Linked DNA regions of Tamandua tetradactyla. The protein of the gene in region 3 interacts with the protein of the main gene of each other region in a biochemical or structural test. Links are inferred from orthologs where the notes say so. Each region holds a gene or a part of one and is shown on either strand. Other genes may lie near its edges.

Evidence for each region. The genes of interacting proteins can lie anywhere in the genome.
Region 1: the proteins of SNTA1 (region 3) and SLC16A7 interact in a test that uses a peptide from one of them, tested with the Homo sapiens proteins (3 studies listed by BioGRID and IntAct, with this or other methods). The link is inferred for Tamandua tetradactyla from reciprocal best matches to the Homo sapiens genes SNTA1 and SLC16A7.
Region 2: the proteins of SNTA1 (region 3) and DMD form a complex in vitro, tested with the Homo sapiens proteins (2 studies listed by BioGRID, with this or other methods). The link is inferred for Tamandua tetradactyla from reciprocal best matches to the Homo sapiens genes SNTA1 and DMD.

What each region holds. Positions count from the first base shown.
Region 1 is NC_135333.1:127,020,916-127,030,520, reverse strand, and holds the start of SLC16A7 (monocarboxylate transporter 2), read right to left. Parts: upstream 4,892-9,605; 5' UTR 4,734-4,891; intron 4,163-4,733; exon of another isoform or gene 4,090-4,162; intron 2,105-4,089; exon of another isoform or gene 2,033-2,104; intron 1-2,032. Other genes in the region: uncharacterized protein LOC143642624, read left to right, coding at 5,017-5,223. UniProt on the Homo sapiens protein: Proton-coupled monocarboxylate symporter. Catalyzes the rapid transport across the plasma membrane of monocarboxylates such as L-lactate, pyruvate and ketone bodies, acetoacetate, beta-hydroxybutyrate and acetate.
Region 2 is NC_135353.1:140,598,782-140,609,118, forward strand, and holds the start of DMD (dystrophin), read left to right. Parts: upstream 1-5,446; 5' UTR 5,447-5,729; coding exon 5,730-5,760; intron 5,761-10,337. UniProt on the Homo sapiens protein: Anchors the extracellular matrix to the cytoskeleton via F-actin. Ligand for dystroglycan.
Region 3 is NC_135327.1:19,569,478-19,579,622, reverse strand, and holds the start of SNTA1 (alpha-1-syntrophin), read right to left. Parts: upstream 3,990-10,145; 5' UTR 3,859-3,989; coding exon 3,546-3,858; intron 1,220-3,545; coding exon 1,034-1,219; intron 1-1,033. UniProt on the Homo sapiens protein: Adapter protein that binds to and probably organizes the subcellular localization of a variety of membrane proteins. May link various receptors to the actin cytoskeleton and the extracellular matrix via the dystrophin glycoprotein complex.

The sequences.
Region 1 (9,605 bases), on a different chromosome or scaffold from region 3:
CTTTTAGCAAAAATATCATTACACTAGCATCTTGCAGCTGTCACTCAAATGCCCTGTAAAATTTTCATTAACTCCTCTGGGACTTCAATGAATATTAATGGAAACATTGGTGAGAGTTTTGGTGTTAGGTCAGAAAAACTATTTTCAAAATATTTGTATCATTTATCAACGGTGATATTTATGAATATGTTGAAACCATCTCTGGTGTACCCATGAACTAATTCATTCAGCTCTAACTTTAATTTTATTATAGTCAAGTTCAATTTGTTTAACCTATGATTATTTCTTATTCCCAGTGTTCTTGATTATTACAAGGATACACTAAATATACATAATCCCTGTCGTTTAATAATTGCCAAATATGTGTGGCAAATGTTATTATAAATGTAAACCCCTGGATCTCTCAAGTAGGTAGATATTTCCCTATGTTCCCCATTTAAGAGAGCAACTGGGAAAATGAAGCCTTCTTTACAAGTTAAAAAACAAATTTTATTGCATACTTGGACTTAGTGTGCAGTTATTTCCCAACATATTTCCTAATCACTTTGATCCAAACAGTTTTGAGAAAGCCTGTAACTAATCAGAATGACCTCACAGAGAAAGGGATATCATTTACTGGTTTATTATGCAATTCAGCATTGCTGTCATCTGAGAGGAAGCTTGGCATTTCAGAGTTCCCAAAAATCTGTTAAGAAAAATAAGTCTCATAATGACCTAGAAGCCATACGACCAAATATTTAATACGTAACAATTAGCTACGAGGTATTGAGTCCTTTCTATGCATGTGCCTGGCGCACTGTTAAATATTTTACAGATATTATCTCATTTAATCTTTATAACAACATACAAAGTTATACTCTTTTAAAGATGTTTTTTTTCTTTTTACGCAGGCAGGCACCAGGAATCGAACCTGGGTCTCTGCCAGTGAGCCACCGTGGCCTGCCCCAAAGTTACACTCTTTTTACACACGAAATCAAGATTTAGACAGGATTTGCAACTTGACCTGGCTAGTAAGTGGCAGGGCCAAGAACAACACCAAACCCACTGAATGCTATAGTCCCTGCTTTTATCCTCTGCCCTGTCCTCCCCCAGTGACCTGATCCCAAAGGGGATCCCAAATGAATCTAATATGGTCTTTGCTCTCAAGATCCCTAAAGCCTAGAAAGAGATAAGATGCCTACAAAAATAATTATGATCAAGATAAAATAGAATAATTGGTGTAAGAGAAGTCCAGATAGAGTTATATATGGAAATTCAGATGAGTACAGATTAATTCAGGACAAGGGAGCCAGGAGTGTTTTGTTTTACTTTTGGGTTAGTTGGGGAGGGTTAAGGAAAGGAATGTAATTGGTATTTGTGGCATGCCACTCTTTTTATGAGCTATAGTATAAGACACCTTACATTTGCTATTTTCTTAGGTGTTTAAAACAACCATTCAAGTATTATTTCTGCATTGCATAAATTAATGGTGTCTTAAAAATTTGAACGCTGAACCCGTTAATGATGGTCTTTTATTCCTCCCACCTTGAAGTTTCTTATCATTATCTTCATGGGGTGTAGGCACCTTTTGCTAATTTGTCAGTTCTGAGAGAGAATACATTTCTAATTCACACAAAAGAGCAGTAGGAACTAGCTGCAACAGGAGGCAAAGGAATCCTCTAGAGTGTTGTAGTAGAGAGAAGTTGATTTTTTCCTTCCTTCCTTCCTTCCTTCCACCTTTTCTTTCTCAGTTCTTTCAACAATCAATTGCCAAAATCTACCAAGTACCATGCAATGTTCTGGGCAATGGAGAACATGACACAAAAGATTCCTGCCTCTTCAGCTTCATGTGAGGCAGTATGACCGAGTGGTTAAAGCCAGACAGACCAGGCTCTTGCCTGAGCCTCACCAGGTTTAACCCTTCTTCTGTAAATGGAGGCACTTCAGCCCTAGCTCATAAGGTTGATATGGGGATTAAAGAAGTTAATACAGGAAAGTGGTAGCATAGTGCTTCAAGAGCTTTATAGACTTGTAGTTATTATAGTTACCATACTTTTGGGCTTATAGGAGTAAGTGGATTAGCCCGTCCAAAGAGTAGAAGAAACTGCAGCTCGATTTCTTCTCTCTCAAAAAAAAAGAAAAAGGCAGGGAGTCAGTTTATTGTCAAAGGTCCTCTTCAGAGAACATCTTTCCTCCCTATTAAGGAGAAAATCATCCATAGTCTGTTTATACAGGTCACCCTCAAATGGTAAAAGAAGGGCTCAATACATGGGTTTCTGAGGCAAGGGACAACCCTTCTCAAATTAGCTTTTAAATACATTATAACCTGCAAATATTTCTTTAAACTGTTTAATCTCTTCCAAGGTTATTTGGGATATATTACTTGTCTATTGGGAAAAGAGGGTTATTAACCTGGACGACTGCATGTGAATTTCATGGGAAAAGATTTCCAACTTCATTCATCTTGGTAACACCAGGGCAGTGTCTAGAACCACTGTAGGGACTCAAAAATAACTGGTCTATACTCCAGGTGTTCATATTTTTTATCCTTCACAATAGCACTGCAAGGTAGGTACCACCCATTGCATTTTATGGATAACCATTTGCCCAAAGAGGCAAATTTTGAAGTAGCTACTCAACCTTACAAAAGCACAGAACAGAGCTTGAAGTCTAGGTTAAATTAATTATCCTTTTCATGTAAATGTCTCAAAAATTTTGGTGAATGAATGCAGAATTTAAAGTAACTCAGGAGACTTCTTGATATTTCGAATCCATAATGGAAGAATATGACTCCAGACAGAAATTATTTCCTTAGGTCAGTTTTCCCCCTTTCCCTTCAGGAGGGGCTGAAGGCAAATACATAAACCCACTTTTAATAGCGGTAGAGTAAATGCTTCCCTAGAAATAACAGAAACAAATGGAAGACTTATACGTGGAGACACTAATGTAGACAATGGGAAACAGATGTTAAAAATTTTAGACCACTTTCCATTATTAAAATGCTCCCTGGAAAAAAAAAGTAGTACATAATTGAAAACTATCGCTGTGAATATTTACAAAGAGGAATTTCTGACTTTCTGAGTTGTTACACAATACACTGGGTTGCTTAAGGTAGTAATATTTTTCCTGAGTTTATTCACTTAAGACTGGCCTTAATGTAATGTTAACGTGCTCAGAGGGAGACAGTTGAGCCAGGATTGCTTCACCAAGGCTAAATAAGGGTCACCCTGTTCAACCCTCAACTGCCCTCTGATTTTTCAATTACACTTCCCCAAATGCACACTTAGGAGTGGCCGTTCCAATCAAGCTACCTGTCTGTTAAAAGTTCAGGGCTCTCATTTGGGTTTAGCCTGGTAGCGCCAGAGAAGGGAATCTAGTGCCTCCCGTTTCCTCCTACCCAATCCTTTTCACCTTGCCTGGATCATTTGTGGCGATTTCTGCTGCGTCTCCTATGGGAACCGAGAAGGAAGGAAGACACGCAGTATTAACTTTTCTAGTGCCACTAGCCTGCCCTCACTCAACCCAACCCAAACCCACTTCTTCAGGAAGGAGCGTTAGACACTTGCAGAGAAACCGCTCCTCCTATCCTCTTGTGAGTGCATGTGTGTTTAATTTTAATTCCCGTGGAGTGAAACCACAAAATTCCCTCCCTGGTACTACCGAGAAAGTGGCCTTGACCACGACTGCCCCTGCCAAGACAACTTGTAATCCCTTTCACGGAAACAGGGGAGAAAAAAGGGTGGAAACGGCAGCAGACGGGCGGCAAACGCTGAGGGTTGAGCGGGTTCGCACGTGAGAGGCCTCCCGGTCTCCCGCACCACCTGGCCGGGCCGGCGCCCACCAGCCCCCAGCGCCGCACTACGGAAGCTCCGCGTGGGTCTCAGGGGCTAACGCTTTCCTCAGTCCCAGCCAAGTCAGTTCCCCCGCTGCCCGGGAGCCTCTACGCGCGCGCGCGCGCACACACACACACACACACACACACACACACACACACACATCTCCGTCAGCGTTCCCCCGCTGCCCGGGAGCCCTCTACACACACACACACACGCACACCTCCGTCAGCGTTCCCCCGCTGCCCGGGAGCCCTTTACACACACACACGCACACCTCCGTCCGCCAACGGCCCTGCCATGCTTCTCGGGGACCGACCCTGGGGTCTCGTCTCCTGCTCCCAGCCTCTCGGAACCTCAATCATCCGCGGCTCTGCTGAAAAATAAGCCTCCCCCAGCCAACACTCTCGCCGCCACCCCGCCCCCACCTCTGCCGCAACGACGCCAGGTTGCCAGCAGGTCCAGGATGCTCGAGAGGCACGCGCCACGGAAACACCGGGCAGGAACTAGCCCCGGGAATCTCGTAGGCAAAGACGGGGTGGTCCCGCCCCGGCAAATTATCTGGGAACAAACTGGGAGCGCGGGAGCACCTCCTGGCCGAGGAGGCACGCCCGGGACCCTTGGAGCCCGCCGTTCCAAAGCGCGCGCCCCGCGCCCGGCGGACCCCGCGCTCTTCTCCATTGCAGCGTCGGGGTTTTTTTTGTTGTTGTTGTTGTTGTTTTGCTTTGGTTTGGGTTTGGGTTTTTTGTTCTTTTTGTCTATATAAGGACTAGCCAGCAGACTACGTTGGCGCATTTGTCACAGGCTGGCCGTTGCGGGTCCTCCGGCAACTCCGACAGCAGACGCTCGCTCGTCTTCCTCACCGCGGGCACCTCCTGCACCAATTCCTATCCCCTCCCTCCCGGGGTGTTATTACTTTACCTAATCTCTGGCACAGGGTGGGCGCTGTAGCTGTCCGTTCCCACCCGGCTGCAGCCGGCTCGTCTCGCTGCCACCGGGTGAATGGAATTATTTATTTATTTATGTCCCTTGACGTGTCCTCGCCCTCCGCAGCCGGAGAGGAGTAGGCGGCGGGGAGGGGTGGTGCGGCTGATGAACGCCCTTGTGGGTGCCCGGGAGCGCGCGCCGGGGGGAAGCGGGGCGGGGCAGGGGCGAGCGTCTCCGGCTCTGCTGCGGCCCAGCGGGCGGCCCGCGCGGGTGGCGGATGGGGGAAAGGGGGGCTGGTGCACCGTCGCCGCCGGGTGACTCCAGACCGACTGAGCATGCTCTGAGAGGCTGTCAGCGCGATTGCGGCGACTTTCCTGTGGCTCCCGGCGCCCGACTTCTGATTTTAGTTGTGACCAAGAGAAAAAGCCAAAAGGCAGATAGAAAGATCTGTTGTTCCAGATCGGTCACCACACGTTTGTCCAAGGTACTTTGGCGTCTAACCTAGGAACCAGGTGTGCGGTGGCTCTGTTTAGATACCCTAAGGAGATACTTAACCTGTAGGAGAGGAAAGCATGCAAAATGAGGGGAGCCTGGCAGAATACAGGGCCTCTAGAAGTTCCTCATGGTGAACTTGGGGAGAAAGCGTTGGGCCATTTTATAACTAAAGCCTTTGGAGGGAAAGGGGTTGGGGATTATTTCACCAAACAAATCACTAAAGGGGGGGGGGGGGTAGTTAACACCATGGGGGGATGGGTATAGGAAACAGCACATGGAGAACTTGAAAATAAGAAAGAAATGGATAAAAGTCATTTATAAATCCTTCCTTTCATTGAGTAACTGCAGATTGGGACCTTTATGTATCTATGTTTAAATTGTTATTTAGAGAAAAAGAAACTGTCCAGAGGAATAAACGTGGATTTGGATTCGAGAACTGTTACTGCAGTTTGTCTACCAAATAGCTGGCATTTCCCCATGTTCTTGTTCTTAAAAAAAAGCAAAAAAGATTAAATGCTGTGTCAATCCTAGATAATACAACTTCCCAAAAACTTTTTTTTTAATCTAGGGGTTAAATCATTTATAAGAAGCCAAGATTATTTAATGGAAATGACCTGAGCTTTGAAACCCGAGGGACTCAGATTCGAAACGGTAATAATAGTAGTGGTAATATTAATAAAATTTATTAAGTTCTTATATTGTCAAGCACTATTCTAAGCACATGCATTGATTATCTCAGTTAATACCCACACTAACCCTTTTAGATACTACTATGAGGATTCACATTTTACAAACTTGGAAACAAATATAGAGAAGTTAAGTTATCCAGCCACATTCATAATTAGTGTCTTAAGTACACCACAGCCAGCCTGTATGCCTGAACGAAATTTGAATTTTACCTTCTGTAGCTAAATTAGAAATATCACCTTTTCAGTGCTGTCGTACAATTTACAAGAGATGATGTGTGCAAATTGTCTGGCACATAAAAGGAGATGAATAAATGATGGCTATTAATAATTTCAGAAACTTTGAGAGAGTTTTAAAGAAAGAAGCAATTTAGAAACTAAAGCACAAAGGCAAAAAAGTTCTAGAAAATCTTGTAAATTTTTAAAAGCTAAAAAATGGATAAGTAGGCATTTGTATAAGGCATAATAGTCATTTGATAATTATAGCAATGACTATAAGCATTGCATTTGTATTACCCCCCCAAAAAAGAATATTAAGTAATACTTAAACTTGGGAGGAAAGCAGTGTAAAAACTACATATTTCAAGGTCATGTTCTCAAGCATTTGTTATTTACCTTTTTCCTGTCCCCTCACCACATTTATTTCTTTTTAAAGAAGAGGAAGAAGAAAGACCATTCATTTCCTGAATTTTGACCCTATGCTCCATTTTCCTTCTCTGATTTTTTCTTTATTGGCCATGATTCTTGGCTTATTTAATCCAGCTCCCAAACACCACTATTCATACCATAATATCATAACCTTTGTTGTTGTTGTAAGTCTTGTTTTTCAAACAATTAAAATCTTAATCCAATTATCTACTGCCTTAAAGTTAGTATTTGGGGACTCGTTTCTAAATCACCTTGATGCTTTAACTAGACATGCTAAATAAATATTTCCCTGGAACAGAAAGGAATCTGAAGAATTAGGTGTAAAAAATCCAGTTTATCCTATGAAATGTAGTCTTAATATTGTTTGGAAATTGAGAAAAAATACAATTTGAGGAAAAAGCAAACAATTTGATTAGAATTTGGAATGCTCTGGTAAAAATTTTTCCTTGATTTCTAACCCATAAAATGAAATAACTTTGGGGAAAACAAAGTAGAGCGATATACTCAGTATTCTAGTGTCTCATGCTCCACCAATGAATAAGCCAGTAAATACGTATGTAGTATATAAACTAATAAGTAATAACCAAACTTGTGGCCCTGTTTTGGTCACTGACTCATCTGTCACTTTATACCCACAGATTCATAATCCAGGTTCCTATTCTCTCTTCATTCTTCTCCATAGCATGTTTCTTTTCTCATTCCCCCCTCTGTCCTCCATATCAAACTTGTCTGAACTTCCATTAAGGCCCAGCTATGCTGTCACTTCTGTAGCATTTCAAGGATTTCTTCAATAAGAATTAATCCCATCTTCCTTTCTACTCCTGCAAATAGAACATGATTTATGACTCTATTCAGGGCATTTCCTCTCTGTCTCACATTATAGTTTTATTATAATATTATTTTATGTAACTGTCTCCCCAGTCTCTTAGGCTATTTGAGGTTAAAGATGACATTTCTGACCTGTATCCACCAGCACCCAGCACAATTTCTTCCAAAAAGAAGGTAATCAATAATGTATGCTGAATGAAGGAAAAAGATGATAGTGTGACCTTAGGCAATAGATATATGGCACGAATTGTCAGTTCTCATAATATCCATAATCTGCCACTCTATATTTCCATTGCAGTTACATTGGGGGCATATGACTAATTCTACCTAATTATGAATAATGGTGGCAGATGTCATCTCTGGGCAAAGGCAATTAAGAGCCAGTGTGCCTCCTTCATTCCTCCCTTTCCCTGCCAGGGTACCCTTGGTGGTCACACGTTTCAGATGGAGTAGCTACAAGACGAGTCCCTAAAAGTTTAAAGAAAGAGAAAAAAGACCACTTGACTTGTACTGGGCTTTGTGTAAGCAAGAAACCATTATTGTCTTAACAAGATTTCGTGCTTTATTTGTCACCAGGGCATAGCCTAGTCTATTCTAACCAATATAAGGTGTTGCTTAATAAGATTATAAATCATAAAGGCATAAAGACCCAAAGAGATATTTGGAGTTTATGAAAATACACTGTGTTCTTAAGCCAAGCCTAAAATATATATTCTGACCACCAAAAATTGATGTAACAGTTTTCTCATGGCAAGACTCTGTTGGACCAAAGTAGGTTTGCGTGTAATGTATGTGCGTAGAACATACACGATAGGTTGGTTTTAATTAAGGATGCAAAATCAAATGTCTCAATAGAATATTGAGAATATATTCTATATTCTAATAGAGTTCCTCAACTTGAGTGAAAACCAACCTGTACCTGCCATCCAGTGACAACCTTCTGTGCCCAAGATTTTAGCTGGCTAGCAGCTGTGAATACAGTTGTTGTGGCTTGGTTTCATAGACAGTACAAAGTATAAAATAACTCTTTCTATTGCTTCTAGATTTATATTTTAAGTTATATAGGTTACATTGAAAATTTCTTTTATGGAAGCCTCCCATAAAAGGAGAATGCAAATCTAGTCTGAGTTTACAAATGATAAGAAAAGGAAAACAATCATATTGTACATTGCTGTATGGTGTGGCTTTCAATAACAATAGAATATCATAGATAGGCTTTTTATCAAAATAAATGATTTTGGGGTCTCAGCAAATCTGTTCATGGAATCTGTATTAAAAGTACTGTCCATTGGTGTTTTTTTAATTTTACATTTTAATATTCACCATAAAATAGGCTTAATGGAACCTAATAAGTATTGTATTGATGCCTTCATCTGACTATTCTAGTAATTCCAAAATCATAAAATTAGAAAATTGGATTAAAAACTTTAATCATAAATCGTGAACTTAATACAGGGATCTTATAAACAGTGGCTTATAAATATTTCATCCTCAATGAATTTTGTTGAATGAATCAATTATGGCTGAATATGGTACCAAGGAATGTCAGCTATAGTGGTTTTTCCTGTATGTGTGATCTTGGATGGTTATTTAACCTGTCTGATCTTAAGCTTTTATTTAGGGACCTTAATAATTAGCTTCTCATTCTAAAATTCTCTTATGCTAGCAAGCCCTTCAAAGATACAAAGATCCATGAAATTTATGCATAATCTTAAGTGAAGAAAATACTTATATATGGTATAGTTATTTCTATTAAACTAAAAATACTGTTTACTTCTCATATTTTGGATAACAGTATTAATCAAGATGCTTTACAAAATATGACTTTAAATTACAGACTTAACTTGTAACCCAGTGTAACTTGTTATATACCTGGAATGTCCTTGAGGTTTAGTCATTGTTTGCGTTTACATAATATCACATAGGTCACAGGACAGTTGGACTCACATTATTCAGAACAGCCTGCTTCTCAACAAGTTGGATTTTAAGCTGCCTTTGCTTTATTTCTTTGCTTAAAATTAAGGCCATATTGCTGTTTTGTTCAGGAGGTGTTTTTCTGTTTTCCGTTTGCCAAGGAGTGACAAAAACTACCTATTTGTTTTGTGCTATTTGCTATATCATACTAATTAAAATTTCTTAATCTTAGTTCATTTTAATGGGTGTCTTCTGATTGTGATCTTGAACTATTACTTGTAGATTTTTACCTAAA
Region 2 (10,337 bases), on a different chromosome or scaffold from region 3:
AAAATTCAACACTCATTCATGATAAAAATTTGGACAACTAACACTAGATGAGGGTTTAGTCATCTTGATAAAGATATCTGTAAAAATACTATAGTCAATATATTTGCAAAAGATTGAAGGCTGTATTCATAATATTAGGAAAAGGGCAAAAATATATGCTCTCAACATTTTCATTCTTAGTACTGGAAATTCTAACCACCATAGTAATGCAAGAAAAGTAAATAAAACCTTATAAATCAGAAGGGAGGCAATAGATAAAAAACATCCTTATTTATAGAATTATGTAGAAGAACCCCGGAATTCTGCAAAAGAACGCCTAGAACTAATAAGTAAGTTCAGCAAGGTCTCAGGAGTCACGAACAGCACACAAAAATCCATTGCCTCTCTATATTTAAGCAATTAAATAATGGAAACCAAAATTTAAAGTACATTATAATTTACACTCACTCAAAAAATGAAATATTTAATTATAAATCTAAGAAAATATATATGGCATCTGTATGCTGTAAACTACAAAACTGATGAAATCAAAGACTTAAACAAATGGAAATGTATACCATAGTCCTGGACTGGAAGATTTAATATATGAAAGATGTAAAGTCTCCTTGAAAATGCATCTACATATTATTAATGTAATTTTATGAAAATATCAGCAAAATTTTTGTTGGAATCCTGTCTTATTTTTCTGGTCTCAGTGCCTCTAAACTAGCATATTTTTCCCACTGGCAGTAACTAAAGATAGATTAAAAAGGAAAAAAAAATCTAAGAAATATAAGCCTTTAATAGAAGGCATCATTTCATATTTCAATAAATATGGATCGTTGGGAGGGGAGACAGAAGTGGCCAAACATGATTTTTTCCCTAAATCAATAGAATTGTGAACTTTATATAAATAGTTTAGGAGGTATGTTTCTTTCGAGCCTGTTATCCTATGAAACTGTATTAAACTTAAAGTTTGAAATTATTAAGCTTAATGTTTGAAATTGTTAAACAATTGAATAAGGGGCGAATGATTCAGCCCCTTCTCAATTTATCAAAAAAAACTTCTTTAGGGTTTTCAATTATTTAAGAATTCATTCCTATCTTGTTCCCTTTTACTTTTAGAGTACTAGGCTCTTTATTAGTAATTTGACTTCTGTTTTACAATACAGGGATTATTAATTTTGGAATATAAACAAGGCCAGTTTTCATTTTCTAACATGTACCATAAAACTGGAGGCCAAAAAAAGAATCATTAAAAAATATACTGATGTATGCATTCAATGTCATATAAATTTTACTTTGTGTTTTTGGACAAAGTATAGGTCTCTATCAATTTCTCTGTTAACAGTTATAACCTTAACATTTAAAATGATTTCAAGATCATATGCATATGGTATTTACTTAACTGTATACATTTAATTATTTTAATGTGCTTCTTTTTCAAAACTGTACTTCTGTACGTTATGCTGTGCTTTGTGTTCTTTGTGCAAACATACACATGAGAAAGAGAAGGCCATCACATATGTATTTGAAATGTGAAAATATAGTTTAATCACAATAAAATTACTGTTAAGCAAAGCATGATGAAAGAAATTTTTAAAATGTAGTATAATCAGAGATATACTGTCTTCATAGACTGAACTTCTCAACAGGGTAAGGATGCTAATTCTATATACTTGATGAAATTCTTATGAGAACACCAGTAATATATGTTGCAGACCTATCTGTAGACCTATCTGTGGATAAGCTTATTCCGAAACTTGTATAGGAAGACACAGAGTCTATAACTACTAGAGATATTTTAAAAAGAAGAAAATATGATTAAAATGCTTAGCCTTGTAGTATAACTATGGAAATTAAGACTGTGTGTTATTGGCAGAGGGATAGACGCATAGAACAATGGTGTAGAATCTCAATCTCAGAGATAGATACACATAAATATGCCTAGCTTATATTTGAAAAAATTATAAATGTAATTCAGTGGACGAAGGACAGTCTTTTCAACAAATGGTGCTAGACTTTGATACAAAAAAAGGAAAAGGAAACTGAATCTAAACCTCATACATTATATACGGATGAACTCAAGGTGAATCAGAGATTTCAGTTTCAATATAATGTAAAATATTAGAAAAACACGTGAGAAAATCTTTGCGATTTAAAACTTGATGAAGAATTCTGTATGTGACACCAAAAGCACCATTCATCAAAGAAAATATTTATCGAGATCGATGACTTTTGCTTTGCAAAAGACCCTGTTAAAAGAATGTAAATACAAGTTATAGACTACGAGAAAATGTTTGTAAGCCACATATCAAAGAAAAGACTCACACCTATCATATATAAAGAACTCTCCAATCTCAGAGGTGGGAAAAAAAAGAAAATCCAGTTTCCAATTTTGAGAAAAGACTTTAAACAGGCTTTATAGAAGAGGATATCTGGATGGTAAACAAGCACATAAAAAAAAAAATGTTCAACATCATTAACCACTAGGGGAATTCAAATTAAAAGCAACCTGAGATATCCCTATTCAATTAAGACTAAAAGAAGAAAGAAAACAGAAAGTTGACCACACCAAATTCTGGTGACGATATGGAGAAACTGAAGCACTCATTCATTGCTAGTAGATATATAAATGGCACAGCACCTCTAGGAAAGACGTTGACAGTTTCTTAACGAAACTAAACACATACTTACAACAGAACCCAGTACTTGCACTCTTGGGCATTAATCCCAGAGAAACTAAAAAGAAATATATACATTTTTGCAGTTTCAGAAAAAAGCAGTCACGTTCACATAACTCGGCAGTTGGACACCTGGACACTGATCCCAGAGAAATGAAGACAAATAAATCTGTACATGATTGGTTTCTGGCTTTATTTATAATAGCCCCAAACTGGAAACAACCAGAATATCTTCCAGCAATGAATGGTTCAACAAACTGGTTGCCTGCAAGTCGATGCAGGCAATAACTTAAATGGATTTCAAGGACATTATGCAGAGTGAAAAAAAGCCAATCTCAAAACATTACACACTATATGATTCCATTTACCCAACCCTCTTGAAATGATAAAATTATAAAGAAGAGATTAGTGTTTGCCAGGTTTTAGGGATGGTGGGGTAAGGGTGGCCAGTGTGCCTCTAAAGGGGTAACATGAGAAATATCTTTGCAATGGAATATTTCTGTACTTTGTGTGAAAAAATGACAGATATATACAAACATTGCACTACTGTCGGTTTCCTGGTTTTGTCCATAGTCATATAAGATGTAACCTATGCATTAAATTTGATAAAGGATGTATGAGAGGTCATCCACTGTCTTTGCAACTTCCTGTGAATAATTATTTCAAAGTAAAAAGTTACAATAATTTTTTCAAAACCTGCCAGTTATAAACTAAGAGAACATGCATAAGTTCCTTGACTGGTCATATTTATATTTGGACTCCTAAGAACTTCCAGATACAGATATTGTGATGACTAAAAGAAAATACGCAACTAAGGGCCACAGGAAAATAATTTGAAGGTCATAAAATTCTTTGACTGTTTGAGCTGATTTTTCTTTCATGTACCTTTCCATTTTTCCACTTACCTTAAGCATGTCTTCACACTAGATTCTAAAACTTCAAGGGAAGCGTACCTATTGCACATATAGCAGAATTTACTCTAGGTACCCAGTAAATTACTGATTATTGATTAATACTGAAATAGAATTAAGATTTAGCTGAGAGCATTCAGATTCAGTGTTTGGCACTTTGGATTTTACCTAAGATCGGAGGCCTAGTTGTTTGTTTTTAGAATCATATACTTCACGGCTTCTCAAACTTGAGCATGCTTTAGAATCACCTGTAAAACACAAAGTGCCGGGGGCTACCCTCCGGAGTTTGTGATTTTCCAGGTCTCAGGGGTATTTGTATTTCTAATCTCCCAGATAATGCTCACGCTGCTGGTTTATGGACTGCACTTTAAGAATCACAGATGCACTATATATTGGACTGGGAATGTGTCTGGGTTTATGTGTCTAGAAATCTCACAGTTCAAAGTATAGAAGGACTTATACTTTAGGTGAAATTGTGCCCTAGAGTGCAGAAAGATATTGATGCTAACATGCAGAATTGGATCTATGTTGGTGCAAAAAGATTTGTTTATTTTATGAATGAATGGAAATGTTTGCTTGTATGCATTTTCATGCACCCAAACTGAGGGGAGATGAGGTAATCTATGTATAGGAAAATTTTAAATCTATCTTTGGATAATCGTAATTTAAATCTAAGTATCGCAAATTAAGAAGTAGGCCTTATGTTTTATTTCATTTAGGTCTTGTTGGGGAAAATGGTACTAATTATGATGATATTCTAAAATATATGGTGTGTAATTAACTATTAAGATAAACCTTGTAGATTGACTCAATGTCAATTTTTTTCAGTTTTGTCTATAATTTATTTCCGAGCCAACCAATTTAATGTTCAGCATAGAAATCTGAGTCTGTCACATTAAAAATTGTATTATGAAAAAACAAATAATTTTAGTAGGGATTCTTAGAATTGGAAAAGGAATATCTTTCTAAAATGAGTTATCAACAGTTCCTATAAATATTGGAGTCACCTGTTGCATTAAAACCATGATAAAGAGAAAGAAACCTATTATGGCAAAGCATGATTCCCAATACCACTGAATGACACATTTTACCCTTGTTCATTTAATGCAGAAAGAAGTCTCTGCTGAAAAACCTTTTAAAAATTGATCATTAACTCACTAAGAGAATAATGCATTAATAATTGCCACCGAACGCATCGAGGAAAGAGTAATTTGTTAGTAAATAAGTTTTATCACAGCCCACAATGAAAATTTACCAGTTCAGGAAGATTTCTTCATTCCATTGTAAGAGTGCTCTTTATTTTAGCAGAAAACTTGTCCCGTGAGACCTACACACATTCTGCCTTCAGAGCTCAGCTGTTACATTCTGCCTTTGCTTCTCTTACGCACACGGTTGGCATCATCAATGCATGATTTTTTTATTCGTTCCCAAGGGTAGAAATGAACTTCCATAGACGGTGGCTACAGAACAAATGCATAGATTATTCTGGGCATTTCTTTTGCATCAGCTGAGCGTTGTTTTTGTAGCATGGTTGTGAGGGAAAAAAAGAAAAAAGGTGTTTAAAAGTCCATTCTCCATCGGGATGTTATGCTCTTCCCTTGCAGAAATCTGCATAAAAGTTACAGAAAGTATTGTTTACAGCTTTGCACTGTAGAGTGTTTTGTGTGTTTTGAAGGCTTGGACAGCAGGCACTCGGTCTACTGAGCTATTCTGGTTTGAATATTCTTCAGAACACAGTTGAACATTATTTGAACTCACAGGACCTGCCATGCTGGAATCACAACCTTATATGTAGTGGCCGTGAGCAGTCCTATTATGGGAAACCAACTTGAGAGAAAAGGCAAGTCCCTTGCTTCTGCGCAGGTCCTGGAATTTCAAATATCCAGGGGCCTCTACAGAATCCTGGCATCAGATGCTATGTTGACTCACTCAGTGTCAGGATCACTCACTTTCCCCCTACAGGACTCAGATCTTGGAGGCAATTACCTTCAGAGAGAAATGAACAGGAAAAACTGAAGTGTAATTTGTTTTTTAAGGCTGCTGAAGTTTATTGGTTTCTCATCGTTCCCCAGCCTGCTGGAGCAATAAAGTTGGCAGAAATTTTTACCAAGATTTTTATTGCTGCCTTGATATATACTTTTTTTTTTTACCCCAAATGCTTTGGTGGGAAGAAGTAGAGGACTGTTGTAAGTACAGAGTAACTTAAAATGTCTTTTGCCACAGTATACGTTTTAGTTTGACAAGTGTACTGATGAGGCAGATTGACTTTTAATTTATTACAGTGTATGAATGAGCATAAATGTTGTCTGATGCATATATCGTAGGCCTGTCTGTGTGCAGATGTACATCTCATTAGGGAAACTTTTCAACAGAAATGAGGTAGGAGTTAGTATTTTTGCCTTTCGCAAAGAGAACCATTTTCATTGCTGTGAAATAGTTTGTGTGACTTGGCTATCGTGATTATGTGATATTTCTGAATTTTGTAAAACATACATGTGGGGTAGTTTCCTGACATGCGCGCTCAGTGAAATCATGTCTGTATGGGAATGAGGCAGGTGCCTCGAGGTTAGAAAAATTTGATCAGGCAGATCATGGGGAGATAATAAAGACTCAAGTGAATTGTAATAGAAACAAGGGAGGTTGAGCAAAGTATTGATAAAGATTTAACTAGAAGCTCCCGTCTCACCTTTCATTTAGTATTTCAGATGTTCATTTCTGTAGCATTTCATGAGAAATCTTTCAAATGATGATATAGGATCTGTGCTGGCAAAGGACCAGAAACTCTCTTGTTGAGAAAACATCAAAAGACAAGCGGATTTGCAATCAAATTTTGCAGTAAAGTTACTAAAGGCAGTTCACTGTTTCGTCTCTGTGATGACTTCCCTTTTCAGGAAAGCTTTTTAAATTTGGCTTTCATATAAAATGCAATTATTATATTTGTTTTGGGAAGAGTCATGATGACTACTGAAAAATCTGAAATTTGACTGTCATGCAATAGTAAAAAAAACTATGTGAAAATAATAAGTGATGAGGACAGTGTGTCCCAAAGACATGGCTAGAGATTATCATTTTTTCCTGTAACCTGTGGATTAGAGTCATTCTGAAATAGATTTGAGGGTAATGCCTATAATTAAGAATAGAAAACTAAATGTAAGTAACTTTACAACTTTTAGAGAAAGAGTCAGAAGAGCAGTTCTCCCTATGAGAAAAACTGGTGGGAATACATTTGTTCGTTTATTGATCCATGTTAGATGCTGCACAATTTCATAGTATAACATTTGTATCATTACTTTCTTTACAAAAACATGTGTAGCACATATTCTTTGCACACACCCCCATTTCTCATTTGATATTATTTCTTTTGGATCGTTATTTTCTAAATATTACAAGAATCATTATTTTATTAATACTACCAGAATTAATGACTGGTGATTTTATATATACATATATAATTTTTGCCTACAAAAACTAAACTCATACACTAGTGCGTAGGCCAACTTTTAGAGAACAGCAAAGATGCAATTCTGGAACAAAGAAAGGCAAACTATTCTCGGTTTTGCATAAATATTTAAATGAGTTTTGTAATTGTAATTGGATGAAAGCTAACTCCTTTTGGGATATGCCCTTGTGTATGACTTTAATATAGCATGTTTTCAAACCATCAGATAATGCTTATGCTACATGGCAGTGGGTGTCTTAAGAGCAAGTGGAGATATTCACAGGGTTACATTATACATTAAATTTTAATGGTTGAAAATATACTATTATCTGGATGTATTGACATTTGATTCCAGTTTTGAATATTGCCTTAATTTCAAAAAGACAGCAGAGTACAATAACATCTTATTTGGCTAGTGTTTTAACAGAACAGTTATCCTTTAAAAGTGAACATTGCCAAACTAACGCAAATATTGTTTACTTTTAGAATTACGCAAAAATGCATTGCCAAAAATTATTCACATATTTCCTAGCTGATATCCACCTCACTCAAATTTTTTAGAATGGTGTAAAACATGTTGGGTTCTAATAAAATCACCTTAAAATTTCACCTGTGTAGTTTTAAAAGGACACCTTAAATCTGTGAAAAAGAGGCTGCTGATCTAAATACATATTTCATAATTTAAGCAGCAGCTTTGGGTGTCTTGATCACATAGCATAGCATTATGATGAATGTAAGGAAAAAGTCCATGCAGATGTTACTATAAACTAAAAAGAAAACTACACAGCATTTTAAGGATATATAATTTTATCTAAGAAAAATAAAGTTTTCTAGTTGGACACTATTCCATCTAGAAAGTACTGAAATACAGAGATTCTTCTTAGTCCTAAAGAATTCATTTGAAATCCTTGTAGTCCAAATCAGTTACTACATGTGAAAGAAAATGTCAAGTTCGTAGCCACTTGCGTGATTTAATAAAATAGATTAAAATCTCTGTTGTCTTGGAAAAGTCAGGTGATTGTTTGAATGTTATTTTATTATCTGTCATGAGGGCTTTATCTCAGAATTTAAAACTTGATTTCCCAAACACTGCTTCCCTTTCCTCATTCTACCTTATTAGTTCCCTACCTTATTAAAAACGGTTCCTCATATTTTTCATTAAGCAATTATTTTTGCATTGCAAATACAACAAAGGTGGTATGTTGACCTGAGTCTGCATGTTTATATCAATACACATTTAAGTCACAGCATACCAAGTTTTTTAAGAAATTAATTGAAGTTAATTGGAAATTAAACTTTCTTTAAATATGCTATTTTCTGCTCATATTTTGTTTTCTGTTTTCAAAGCAGATCACATTTCAAGGAATTGACAAAACTAATGTGTGTACTCTATTCCACAAAACAAAAAATCATGAAGCGCAAATCCACATTTTAGGAAGACTGAGATTTTACAATCGGGGTTTATAAGAAAATATTTGAATAGAAAATTAGAGAGGGTCTTGGGAGGGTCCCATGCAAGTGAAGGGTCTCAAAGCTTAAGCTTTAGAGGTTTCATGGGAAATCACCTCTGTGTGAAGAGAGTCGTTGTCATTAAATCTTTTCCCAATTACATTTTAAGATCAAATTGCTAGTTCTGTTTCTTCGGGCACATGTTATTTCTCAAAGACAACCTTTTATTTAATGCGTATTAGTGGGTTAGCACAATTTAAGATGGTAGGAATTTGACATTTCTGCCTTTCATTCTGAAAAAATACATTGATTAAAGTGGTGTCAAACTCAGCTAATGGAGGCGGTGCAGTTATTTCAGATACACAGGGTATGTAATTTGAAGGCAAGCCAAATCACAGTGAGATGGAATCACTTGTATGTTCAGGATTTGACTGGAGTCAGGGGGAGAAGGTAAGTTTTCTTTTTCACCAAGTCCTGCTAAAGTCCTAAGAGGTTTGCGTTCTGTTTACAGGGCATTTGGTTCATATTGGAATAGTTGTCGGGAAGGATATGAACTGAAGCATGGGGAAGAAGATAGTAAGATATTTGTAATTAAACACATCCAAATGGCTTAGAAGAATTTCATGCAAATGTTTCTCTTTGGAGAGTATACTCCCTGCAGCATACTGATTTTCAAAATGTAAACAAGCAAGTGAACACATTTTGCTCTTCACCTTTTCTTGATGTGAAAACATTTATTGGTTAAACTTTCTTGAGGTTTTACTCTTTCAAATATTAACTGAGTAATAATTCATTAACAGATATGTGAAGTTCCAAAGTTTAATTTTAACAGATATGAAAGTTAAAAATGACAATGCCACAGTATAGTTGATTACTTTGCTGGGCTGGTCTACTTAAACCACGGATAGAGTTGTCCCTCAAATCATCTCTTTGTAAGATGTCGAACTCCCTTCTCTTTAATCTTTTAGTGAACGTGTCTTCCACAGATTCTGATATACCGTTCTGAACGGAAGGGTGCCCCTGCTATTTGCACATCACTCCCGTGCAAACTATAGTTTGAAGCTTAGCAGCTGAAATGATTTGCTGTTTTTTTCTGGGAAGTTCTAGAATGAAAAGCTTGCTTTTCCAAAATATTATAGTACATTGTGATATTGGCTGTGCTTTTCCAAACTAGCGTCCCCCAGAGATTCTGATACAGGGGCATGGCCTTTCTCTTTCCCCATGGAAGAGTACTGTTCCAGATATGGCAAAAAAAGAAAAAGAGGGGGGTGCCCCAAAAACCTTGACTCGAGTGTTTTAGTGGCATCTGAATTTCTGAACCACAATTCTGACAGACAGCAGGTGGAGAAGGATGAGAAAAGAAATGGCCCTGCTGACTCGTGCTGCAAGGAATTCTTATCTCATGGCCACACAACATCTACCCTCGTGATCACTGGCAAAAATGAAAGACTCTCCCATAATTCACATCTTCCATTTAGACTGCCAATTTAAGAGACAATGTCTCTTCGCTGCTTCTGCGCTCCGTCTTTATGTTAATCTGATATCACTCCTACAAAATTCTGCAGAATGAAAATAGATGATGGAATACTCAGAGCAACTGTCTGGGCTTCTATAATCCCTTTAGGCGCCTTTGCATAATATATGTAATGATATTAAGCCTTCAGAAAGCAAGTGTTACTAAGCAATCTGGAGTGAGTTTGGAAATCAATTCCTCCTTGGGTCTCCTTATTATCTCTTGCCTTCTGCCTCAGTTACCTCACTTGCACTCTGTCATTACACACCCCATACTTCCCTAATGGAAGGTGGCGGGGAATTGATAATTTCCTTTGAACTGGCCTGGGCCTGTGATTTCTTTGCTGTGTTAAGCAAACTTTG
Region 3 (10,145 bases):
ATAAAATTAAACTGAGAGGGAATTGAGGTCTGGAGTTACAAGTATGCCAAAGATTACCAGAGACCTGGTGCCTGTCTGCTTCTGTGACCTCCTGGGCACCCCTTTGGAGAAACCAAGGCAACCATGAGGATCTGGGCCTGTGACTCAGCTCAGCAGTTTTACTGGCCAAAGCATTCTCCACTGGCCCCTACCACCTCCCTGTGCCTGCACTGGGCCATGAGCCAAAGATACATTCCTCAGCCACCCCCACCCCCCCCACAGGCCTCCAGGGCTGATAGAGTGTGAGGAAAGAGCTATGCAAAGCGGAAACCTCCGGAGAGAGATAGCAAAAGCAGATATGGGACAATCACAGCAGGAGGTCTGTTACAACCAATGGGGAAACTGAGGCCCAGAGAAGGCAAGGATCTCTCCCTAGACCATAAAAGAGGAGACAGTAACTAATTCCACCCAACCAAGGTTCCCACACACACCAAAAAACCTCCTTTCTGATCCTCACTCAAATAATGTCATGTCTTGCTGTTCTCTTGAAGTTCTCTTCCAAAGGAGGGTGGGTCTCAGGGTTTTATGGCTCCTGGGCACTAGAAGGACCTACAGGTCCCTTAGGAAAGAATCTTGGCTGCTCCCTCCCCAGTCCCCTGGCCGTCTCCTTCCCTGAATCACTCCCTGGGTACCAGATCCTGCCATGTTCCTTTCATCCTGCTCATAAAAATAACCCAGCAAGGTCACAGTGACATCCCATTTTATGAATGAGGAACTAAGGCTGAGGGAAACGAAGTGACTTCCCTAAGGCCACAAAGCTCTGAGTGGGAGAGAAGAAAGGTACAACCAGGTAGGTCTGGCTCCCTGCAGGCTCCCCTCCACCAGCCCACACTGTCCCCGGGTAGGCCTTCAAATTCTGTGTCTGCTTCCAACCCTGTCCATCTCTCAGCCCCCACGGCCAGGCTGGGGCCATCTGAGGCCTAGGGGGGCCAGGGAAGAAGTTAAACACACATGCACACCCACTTTTCAGGGCCCTGGGGACCTCAGTGCTTACCTTCTAGCACCACCTCCTTGCCTGCCTTCTTAAGGACCTGCACTGCCTCATCGTGGCTGGCAGAGGACAGGTCTTCCCCATTCACGGACAGGATGGCGTCCCCCACAAAGAGGGCCTCAGTCTGGTCAGCTGCCAGGCCCTTGAAGATCTTGGAAATGAGAATGGGCATCTTGTTCTCCCGGCCCCCTACACAGGCACAGAAGGAGAAAGAAGGTGAGGCAGATGCTCCAATGCTTAGGAGTCGTGTCAAGGCAAAAGTATTTATTGAAGGCCTCCCAGTGCTGGAAAAGGAGCGGGGGGAATGTGGAAGACTAAAGAGAATCTCAGAACAAAGGAGCCTTAGAAGCTTGGGACACTTAGCTAGTAAGCCGCAGGGCCAGCATTTGAACCCAGTCAAATGTGGGCCCTCGGATATCACATTCCTTGTCCATCCCCAGAGATGAGAAGATGAAGAACTAGCTCCCCAGAGAAAGGAACTCATTGTTACAAGGTCACACGCCAAATTGGTGGCAGAGCTGGGGCTGGAACACTCTCCTGACCTCCACATATACTCAATAGTTTGTTCATCATGCTGCACAGAACTTAAGGCCTAGGGGGAGGAAGGAGTTTCTATTTATCTCTATCTTCCCCCTCCTAAAACAAGGGATTCAGTCCAGTTTGAAATATATGGTCATTCCTATCTGCCCATGGCGACAGGAGCCCATGGAACTTGCACTTCCTCTGAAGCCTCCTAAAAAGACCATCACCCCCATCTGGAAGTATGCAGCTTGAGAGTAACTTTATGTGACCTTGGAAAGTCCCTGCTCTTCTCTGAGGTCTCAGTTTGTCCATCTGCAAAATGGGAGAGTTGGCACTAATGCAAAGTGTTAATAATAGGAGAACATGTGGGAATTCTGTATGTTAGGCACAATTTCTCTGTAAACCTACAATTTCTCTAATTAAAAAAAAAAAAGGAAGGGTTGACCTATATGAACTATAGATTACAACCTGCTCTGACAAGCTGAGTGTACCATTTCTGGATTGGCCCTGCTGCCCTATGCCATGCTGGAGGTTGGGAACAAGACTGGTACCTGTCCCTGGTTTCACCACTTTCCCCTTTTAGACATCTTTGGTTGGCTGCCTGGCAGTTTGCCTTTCCACATGTAAGTATCACCCTGGGCAATCTCTAGGGAGGACATGTGCCTGATAATTGAGGCTCTAATCCTAGCTCTGGAGCTAACTATGTGACCCTGGGCAAATCATTGCACCTTTCTGAGCATCCGTTTCCTCACCTGCAAAAAAATGGGATTATATTCCCTATCTTTCAACACTGGTGCCAGGATGAAGTGGCTCATGAGCCTACAGTACTGGGCACAGCACCTGGTACACAGTGGTGACAGTTGCCACCATCCCCAGCCCCAGGCTAAAGGATCTGGAGGCACCAGTGAACAGAGTTAGCACCAGGGAGACCCAGAGAGGGGACAACGTACATTCAGGGTGAAACAGAGACTGACACCCTTTTCCGTGGCAGGTAACACTTCGCCGAGAGCTGGGACCCTAGGAAGCAGACAGGCAGGACTGGTGAGCTCAGCAGCTGGAGGTGTGCAGGGAGTTTAAACACTGTGATCAGTTGCTTTAGGAGCCTCTCCTGACCTCCATTTTTCCTCTCAAATAACAGCGATAATTAACTGGGCCCCTACTATGCGCTGGCAGGGTCAGCACTTCGGACTTCTGTGCTTACAGAAATAACACAACTTTATCATTATCCTCGTGCAGTTGAAGAAATTGAGGTTCATAGATGGAAAGCGGATTGTCTTAAGTCCAGAGTCCTAAATGAGTCCCCAAAGAAAGCCGTCCACAGGCTGGGAGCTCAAAGAGGAGTACCAACTCTGTGTCTCCCCTTTCAATCCTGTGCAAAGTAGAAAGGGTCAGATCACCAGATTCAAACCCAGATGTCAGGGCTCCCTGCCTAGGCAAACAGCTGTCCCGGGTCCTCAGATTTCTGCATCCTTTCTGGCCCGTCTGCGACTCCAGCCTGTGCCTCCACCCACGGGCCCTACCCATGCACGTCCTTCCCAAACTCCCTCCACCTTGGTGTTGTCTCACGGACTTGCTTCTCCTTGCCTAAGTAGTGTCCCAGGCCTCGACCCCTTTCTCCACCCTCTGCTCTCCTGGGCCCCTCTTGTCCTTGGTGCCCGTGCTAGCTGTTCCCGCAGATCCCTAAGCCACCACATAGAATTCCCCACCCACGTTTCCGTGGTGCGCCCCAATGCCCTCCACACCTACTCCGTCGGTGACTTCGACTCCCAAAATCCCATGTCCCTGGCTCCCCACTGTACTGTCACAGACCCCAAGTCTCTGACCTTGGAGGCCCCCGTGCGCCTAGTGGCCTCAGAACACCCCCACCCCATACCCTCAAACCCAAGGCCTCCCTATTCCACGGCTTCCGTTCGGCACCAGTCCCCACGACCCCTGCGTCGTCGGCGGCCTCACAGACACTACGACTCCGTGCCCTCGGTGCCCCCGCGCCCACCTTTGATGCTGATGCCCAGCCCACCGGCGTCAGCCTTGCGCACCGTCACGCGGCGCCGCTGGAGCAGCAGCGCCTCCGGCAGCTGCGGGGGCGCCGCTCCCGGCTCGGCGGCGCCGTTGAGCTGCGAGGGTTCGGGCTCCCGCGGGGCGCCGGGCTCGGGACCGGGCTCGCCGTCGGCGGGGCTCACAGTCAGGGCGTCCTCCGCCAGACTGAGCAGCACCCGCTGCCACCGCTCGCCGCCGCCGCCGGGGGAGCCCACCCCGGCGCGCAGTTCCAAGAGCCCGGTGCGCGGGGCGCGCCTGCCTGCCGCCATCTTCGCCTCCGGGCCCCCGCGCCGCCGCGCTCACTCTGCCCCGCTGTGCCCGGCCCGCTCCGACCGAGCACCCAGGGCAGAGGGCAGCTGGGGCCCGTCTGGGCCAGCAGCCACCCTACCCCGGGCCGCTGGGGGTGGAGTCTCGAGGGGGCGGGGCTACGTGGGTGTGGCTAACCGCAGAGGGCGGGGCCTTGACACCTCGCGGGAGGCTGGGCGAGGTCAGACGCCCAAGGGAGCAGAATAGAGCTACTAGAGGGTGGGGCCGTAAGGCCCGGGCCCCGAAATAAGCCGAGGAGCTGGTGAGGAGCGGATGCCCAAGCGGAGCCGTTCAGGGGGCGGGGCTTCATACCGAGGCCAAAGGCCAAGATTCCTGTGAGGGAGACTCAACTCTGGTCAGGGCCGTCGAGGCTCTGGGCCGTCGCTCACAGAGATGTGAGCACAAGAACAAGGGAAGGACCGTAAGGCCTAATGCGAAGCTTTGGGCGTAGGAGCTGAGGACACCAGGGACAGGGCTTGAGTTTAAGAAGTCGACAGCGAGCCGCGAGGCATAACGCAGGTGTAGCTGCTAGTGGGCGAGCTTCGGAAGAATCTCGTTTCCGAGTTTGGCGCGGGGCATTTTGGCATTGGGGCGTGGTTTTGTGTGGGCGTGGCTTCTGGTGCTTGCAGGCCCCGCCCACTGGGGCTGACCTTGCAACTGCTGCCTTTAGGGCTTGGCGAACGGGTGGGCATGTTACCCAGTTAAAAACTGAAGGAGACTTTAAGAGGCTAATGTCCTGCAACTATGTGATGAAACTGTGAATTACTGATTATATATGTAGAACGGAATGATGATGTATTAAGAATGTTTTTGTCTGTTTGTTGTTATATTTTTTAATTAAAAAATTAATTTAAAAAAATAAAAAGAAACAAGGTAAAGTGAACAAAGGGAAGATACGTATGGTATTAGCCACTGCCGCTACTGATTAAAACCCTGATAAGTGGGATGGTAATGTGTGGACAAAGCAGATAATGGAAAAAAAGCAAGTATTTTAAATTAAAAAAAGCTTGTCAGATAAAACAAACAAACAAAACCTTGTAAGCCATTAATTACCTGGATGGTTAGAATTGCTGATGCAGGGGCTGAAGGAGTGGTGCTGGACTATGCTGATTGCATGAAATTTACAGAAATTAGCACCAGTCCCTTCATACAGACTGCTTTTCAGAAGTTTAATCAGCAAACTGGAAAAAATTCTAACTTGCTGACATTGGCTGCACGAAGATGCAATAAGCAATGCCCTGCTAACAGTATGTGGCCATGAAATAATCGACCCTGGTACACTTTATAAAATGGCAAAGCTGGGAAACATGGGAGACTGGAATACAGGGAAAGGAAAGGCCAAAAAGTATATATATATATGTACATTATATATATATGTATGTATATAAAATGGGAAATGGTTTCCCAAAACCAGTAATAGGATTTCCCACAGAGAAATGTTCCAAGGCCTGCTGGAAGCTAAGGTTAACCAAAAAAAATTAATGTTTTGTCAAAGAATTAAATTTTTAAAATGTATACAAAAGAAATGTAAACCAAGTTATGATCATAAAATGAGTAGTGCTCCTACTCCTGGCAAGGCAGAAGACCTGCATCCAGCTCCCTTGGTACCGCTATACCCTCACTTACTCCCTTTCTTCCAGACAAAGGATTAAGCCAAACCCCATTATCTTTGATTCCAAATTTGTGGCTCCCCTTTGGTTTAATGTTTCATATTTTTTAAACTTGAAAAAGCTGTTTAATATTATGAAACACCTTGCTTGCAAATTTTATCCGTACAGAGTTTTAAAAATCTTTATTCTGTGCCATCAATCCTTATTTTAAAAAATGTATATTAAGGTTTCAAATATGCATTAACTAAAGCATTTTAAATATTGAACATTATTCTGACAAATTCAATTTTAATAGTAATTGTGTGTGGTAAAATATTTGCTTTAAATAATGACTTAAGTATGAAGGATATAAAAGATATGCTTTTACTAAAAGGAAAAGGAGAGTAGTTTTGCCCTCACATAAAATAAATGGCTGTTACAGAATAAAAAATGTAAGACAAAGCCTGAACAAATATAATAAGTTGCCAAAGGTTTGTAAAAAAGGAAATTATGGTCAAAATCAGGGAAAGTTTAAGGTGAACTAAAAGGGAAGGTGTTAAAAGCAGTACCCAAACTCTTTAGCATCTACGCTCCCTTACCTGAGATTAAGCCAGGAAACATGGTATGGGTAAAAGACTGGGGGAAAAAAAAAAAATGGGCTCCCTGCAGCCTCAATAGGGTTGGTCCTTAATAGAAAGGTCCTTACCATGTTGTTGTAAGTAACCCTAACAGCCATCAAAGCCGTGAAGATCATCCTATGAATTCACCACTCTCAGGTCAAAAGGGCCACCACAGACAACCCCTGGGAATGCACCCCTTATCCTGAACACCTGACACACATTGTTCTCCGGGAGCCACTGCACTCCCTCTCCTTCGCAGCTGAGATCAGCTGACCAGCCCACAAGTAAGGCCTGAGTGACAATCGTTGCCCTGCTCTAGCTCACCAGAAGCAGCTAGTCAACACCCAGCTGAAGCCTGAGGAGATCTCCGAGCCCTGCCTCAGTCACCCCGGAAGCTGACTGATCTGCGTACAGCCGAAAATTAAAGAATCAACACATGGCCATCCCAGTCTGCTGGGTCTGTGGACTAATTCTCTTTTTTTGCTCTTCACGTTTGTCTTTTGTTTAGTGGTGTTAGCCCGCCTGAAAATCAGTCCCCTGGAGTTCTTCCCGAAAACCAACTTTACTCATTTGACAGAATCCCTCTTACCCAGCTAACTTCCCCCTTCCTAGCCGCTGCGCAGAGTGAGTGTCTCCATTCCTTCCCTGAGGCTAATTGTACATTTGTGTGGTGGCACTCCCCATAACCAGCACCATTAGCCTCACTCCTTTGTATCTGCTTGACATGATCATAAGCCCTTCCAAGGGGGATGATGCATGCCAGGCATGCTTCAAGACTACCTATGTTAGAAAAAGATAAGAACTATAACCAGTATTCATGCCAGGGCAGTTCTCAAACATGAATTATTCTGTATGCACCCTAAAGAAAGATGCCTAGTATGCTATAATCCCACCACACCGGGTTCAGTACTGCTATCTTCACTACTCTAGGATGGCAAAACTGTAAAGGCCTCCTGGGAACTGGGGCTAAGTTTATCTCTTGCCCAAAGCTATAAGCTAAGCCCTCACTGAAAAAAAAAAAACAAAAAATCTGGGTTCCCAAAAACATTAGACCAAAGCTGATGCCCCGCCAGCAGGTAAAGGAATCCCAAAGCAGGTGCTGGGCATAAAGGCCAGGGTACATAGGCTGTTAAAGAGACAGATCAGACCCTCTTGTGGGGGGGGGGGGCATTGCCCCTTCCTCACTTGCACACCTCACATCACCCTGCTTGGCCCTGGAAGATGGCTGGTTAGCCAAAGACGGGTAAGATTCCTCAGGGGAGGAACAACCTAAGACAGGCACAGTCACAAAGGGGCCATCAGGAGAAAATTTGAGGCCAACAGCAGCGGGGTACAAACCCTCACCACCACCCCCCAACTTTGCAGGGGCCTAAATTCTGCATGACTACATTCTTTCCACATCTAGCTCAGATTGGGACATATCAACACTTGCAGCAAAAAAAAACACACAAACAAACAAAAATGAAATATAGGTGATGCTATAACCCCTCCTATAAGTTGGGGTAAGCATCAAAGGGGGAAATGTAGCAGGCAGGCCTCTCCCCACCCACCCCCCACTCCCTGCTGCTTCTTCTGGTTCAGCTGCCTCCTCTGTGGAAAATCCCCAAACCCCCTCTCCTGACCTTCAGGAATGGGTGAAACTGCAGGCAGGTGAGATAAGACAGCTGGGATGGAGACTCCTTCCTTAAGGATGCATATGCTTCTGTGACCTAGGTTTGTGTCCTTCTCAACTTAAACCAGCCAATCATTTACCTTATCTTTAATATGTCATCCTGTCTATAAAAACTAATGTTAACCTTTTGTTCAGGGCTCAGACTTTCAGAGCTACTTGATTGAGCCCTATGGCCATAGAAAATAAAATCTACTTCCTGAAAAAAAAAGTAGGCTAATGTCCTATTCCGTTCACAATTGAGTGGTTGAGGCTCAGAGAAGCCCCACACTGAAGTCCCATACTGAAGTGTGGTTAGAGGAGAACCCAGGAATCCTGGTGTATGGAGAGAGGGCTGCAAGGAAGGCTTCTGAGTCTGGGCATTTGGAGACTGGTTCCAGCTCAGACGCTCTGTTAACTGCATGTTGACCTTGGGCCAGTCACGTCACTTCTCTGGGCCTCAGTTTCCTCATCTGTGAAATGGGGATCATAATCCTAACTCATGGGATGGTGTGAAAATTTCTTTGTATTATGCTGTGAACCACATGTTATTCATATAATCACTTTCATTTATTGAATGTTTATTATATTGCCCAGGTCTGGAACTGAGCATTTTCCATATGTTATCTCATCTTTGCCACAGCCTCATGAAGTAGCTACTGTTAGGAACACCTCCATTATACAGAAGGAAAAACATCCCATTCAGAAGGCCTCATTGGTCTAAGCCACACACTTATGAGAGGGGCAGAGCTGGGATTCAAACCCAGGCCTGTTTGATGCTAGTACCTGGGCATTCTGCTAGACAACTGCCAATTACAGAAGAGAAGGGTGATCATTTTCAGAAAAATTCCACTTCATCACCCACCTCAACCACCCTCCATATCTGCCCCTTGTCTCCATCTCTCCATCCCCCACTCCTATCTGGGTTGGGTTGAGCAATAAATTATTAGGGCAACATCAGTGTGTACACTCCCTGTGACTTTGAGTAGAACCCTCCACATAGATACTGTGCTGGTTTGAAATGATGTATGTTCCCTAGAAAAGCCATGTTTTAATCCTAATCCCATTTTGTAAAGGCAGCCATTTCTTCTAATCCCTACTCAGTATTGTAGGTTTGGAACTGTAATTAGATCTCCCTGGAGATGTGATGTAATCAAGAGTGGTTGTTAAACTGGATTAGGTAGAGGCGTGTCTCCACCCATTTGGGTGGGTCTTGATTAGTTTCTGAAGTCCTATAAAAGAGGAAACAGTTTGGAGAATGAAAGATTCAGAGAGAGCAGAGCAGAACGACATAGTCACAAGAAGCAGGGTCCATCAGCCAGCAACCTTTGGAGAAGAAGGAAAATGCCTCCCGGGGAACTTTATGAAACAGGAAGCCAGGAGAAGAAGCTAGCAGATGACGCTGTGGTCACCATGTGCCCTTCCAGATGAGAGAGAAACCGTGAACTTCATCAGCCTTCTGGAATCAAGGTCTCTTTCCCTGGATGCTTTAGATTGGACATTTCTATAGACTTGTTTTAACTGAGACATTTTCTCGGCCTTAGAACTGTGAACTAGCAACTTATTAAATTCCCCTTTTTAAAAACCATTCCGTTTCTGGTATATTGCATTCCAGCAGCTAGCAAATGAGAACAGATACCATCAAAAAAACAACTCACAAGCAAGCAGTTACATAGACAAGACATCCTCATCAGCCTTAGGTTGGCAAATAACTAGTGTCCAACCATAGGGGAATGACTCCAAACCACTGAAAATTCACTGAGACCACATACTTAGGGTTCTACTTGAAGTCCCAGGAATATAGCCATTGATGTAGTCCTAACTATCGACAGCCCAACACATCCCAACTAGGAGTAGAGGATGGAGACAAGGGGTAGGCAGGAGGGCTGCTACATGTACATATAATACATACATAGCATTTATTCAGTGTTTGCTATATGTTGGTACGTGAGCTAGCTGATTGTCACAGTCAATTCATGTGTCAACTTGGCCAAGTGGTGGTACCTGTTTGTCCGGTTGGGCAAGTGCTGGCCTGTTGCGATGAGGACATTTCATAGAATTAAATCATGATCACATCAGCTGCATCCACAGCTAATTCCATTTGTAATCAGCCAAGGGGAATGTCTTCTGCAGTGAGTGATGCTTAATCTAATCACTGGAAGCCTTTTAAGGAGGATTCAGAAGAGACAAGTTCTCTTCCTGCTTCGGCCGGCGAGCCTCTCCTGTGGAGTTTGTCCAGACCCTCCATCAGAATCGTCAGCTTCGCAGCCTGCCCTGCGTTCCCACAGTTACATGAGACACTTTAATACATTTTATATTTGCGAGTGTTCCCTGTTGATTCTATTTCTCTGGAGAACCCTAACTAATACACTGATTTATATACATTCTGTCAT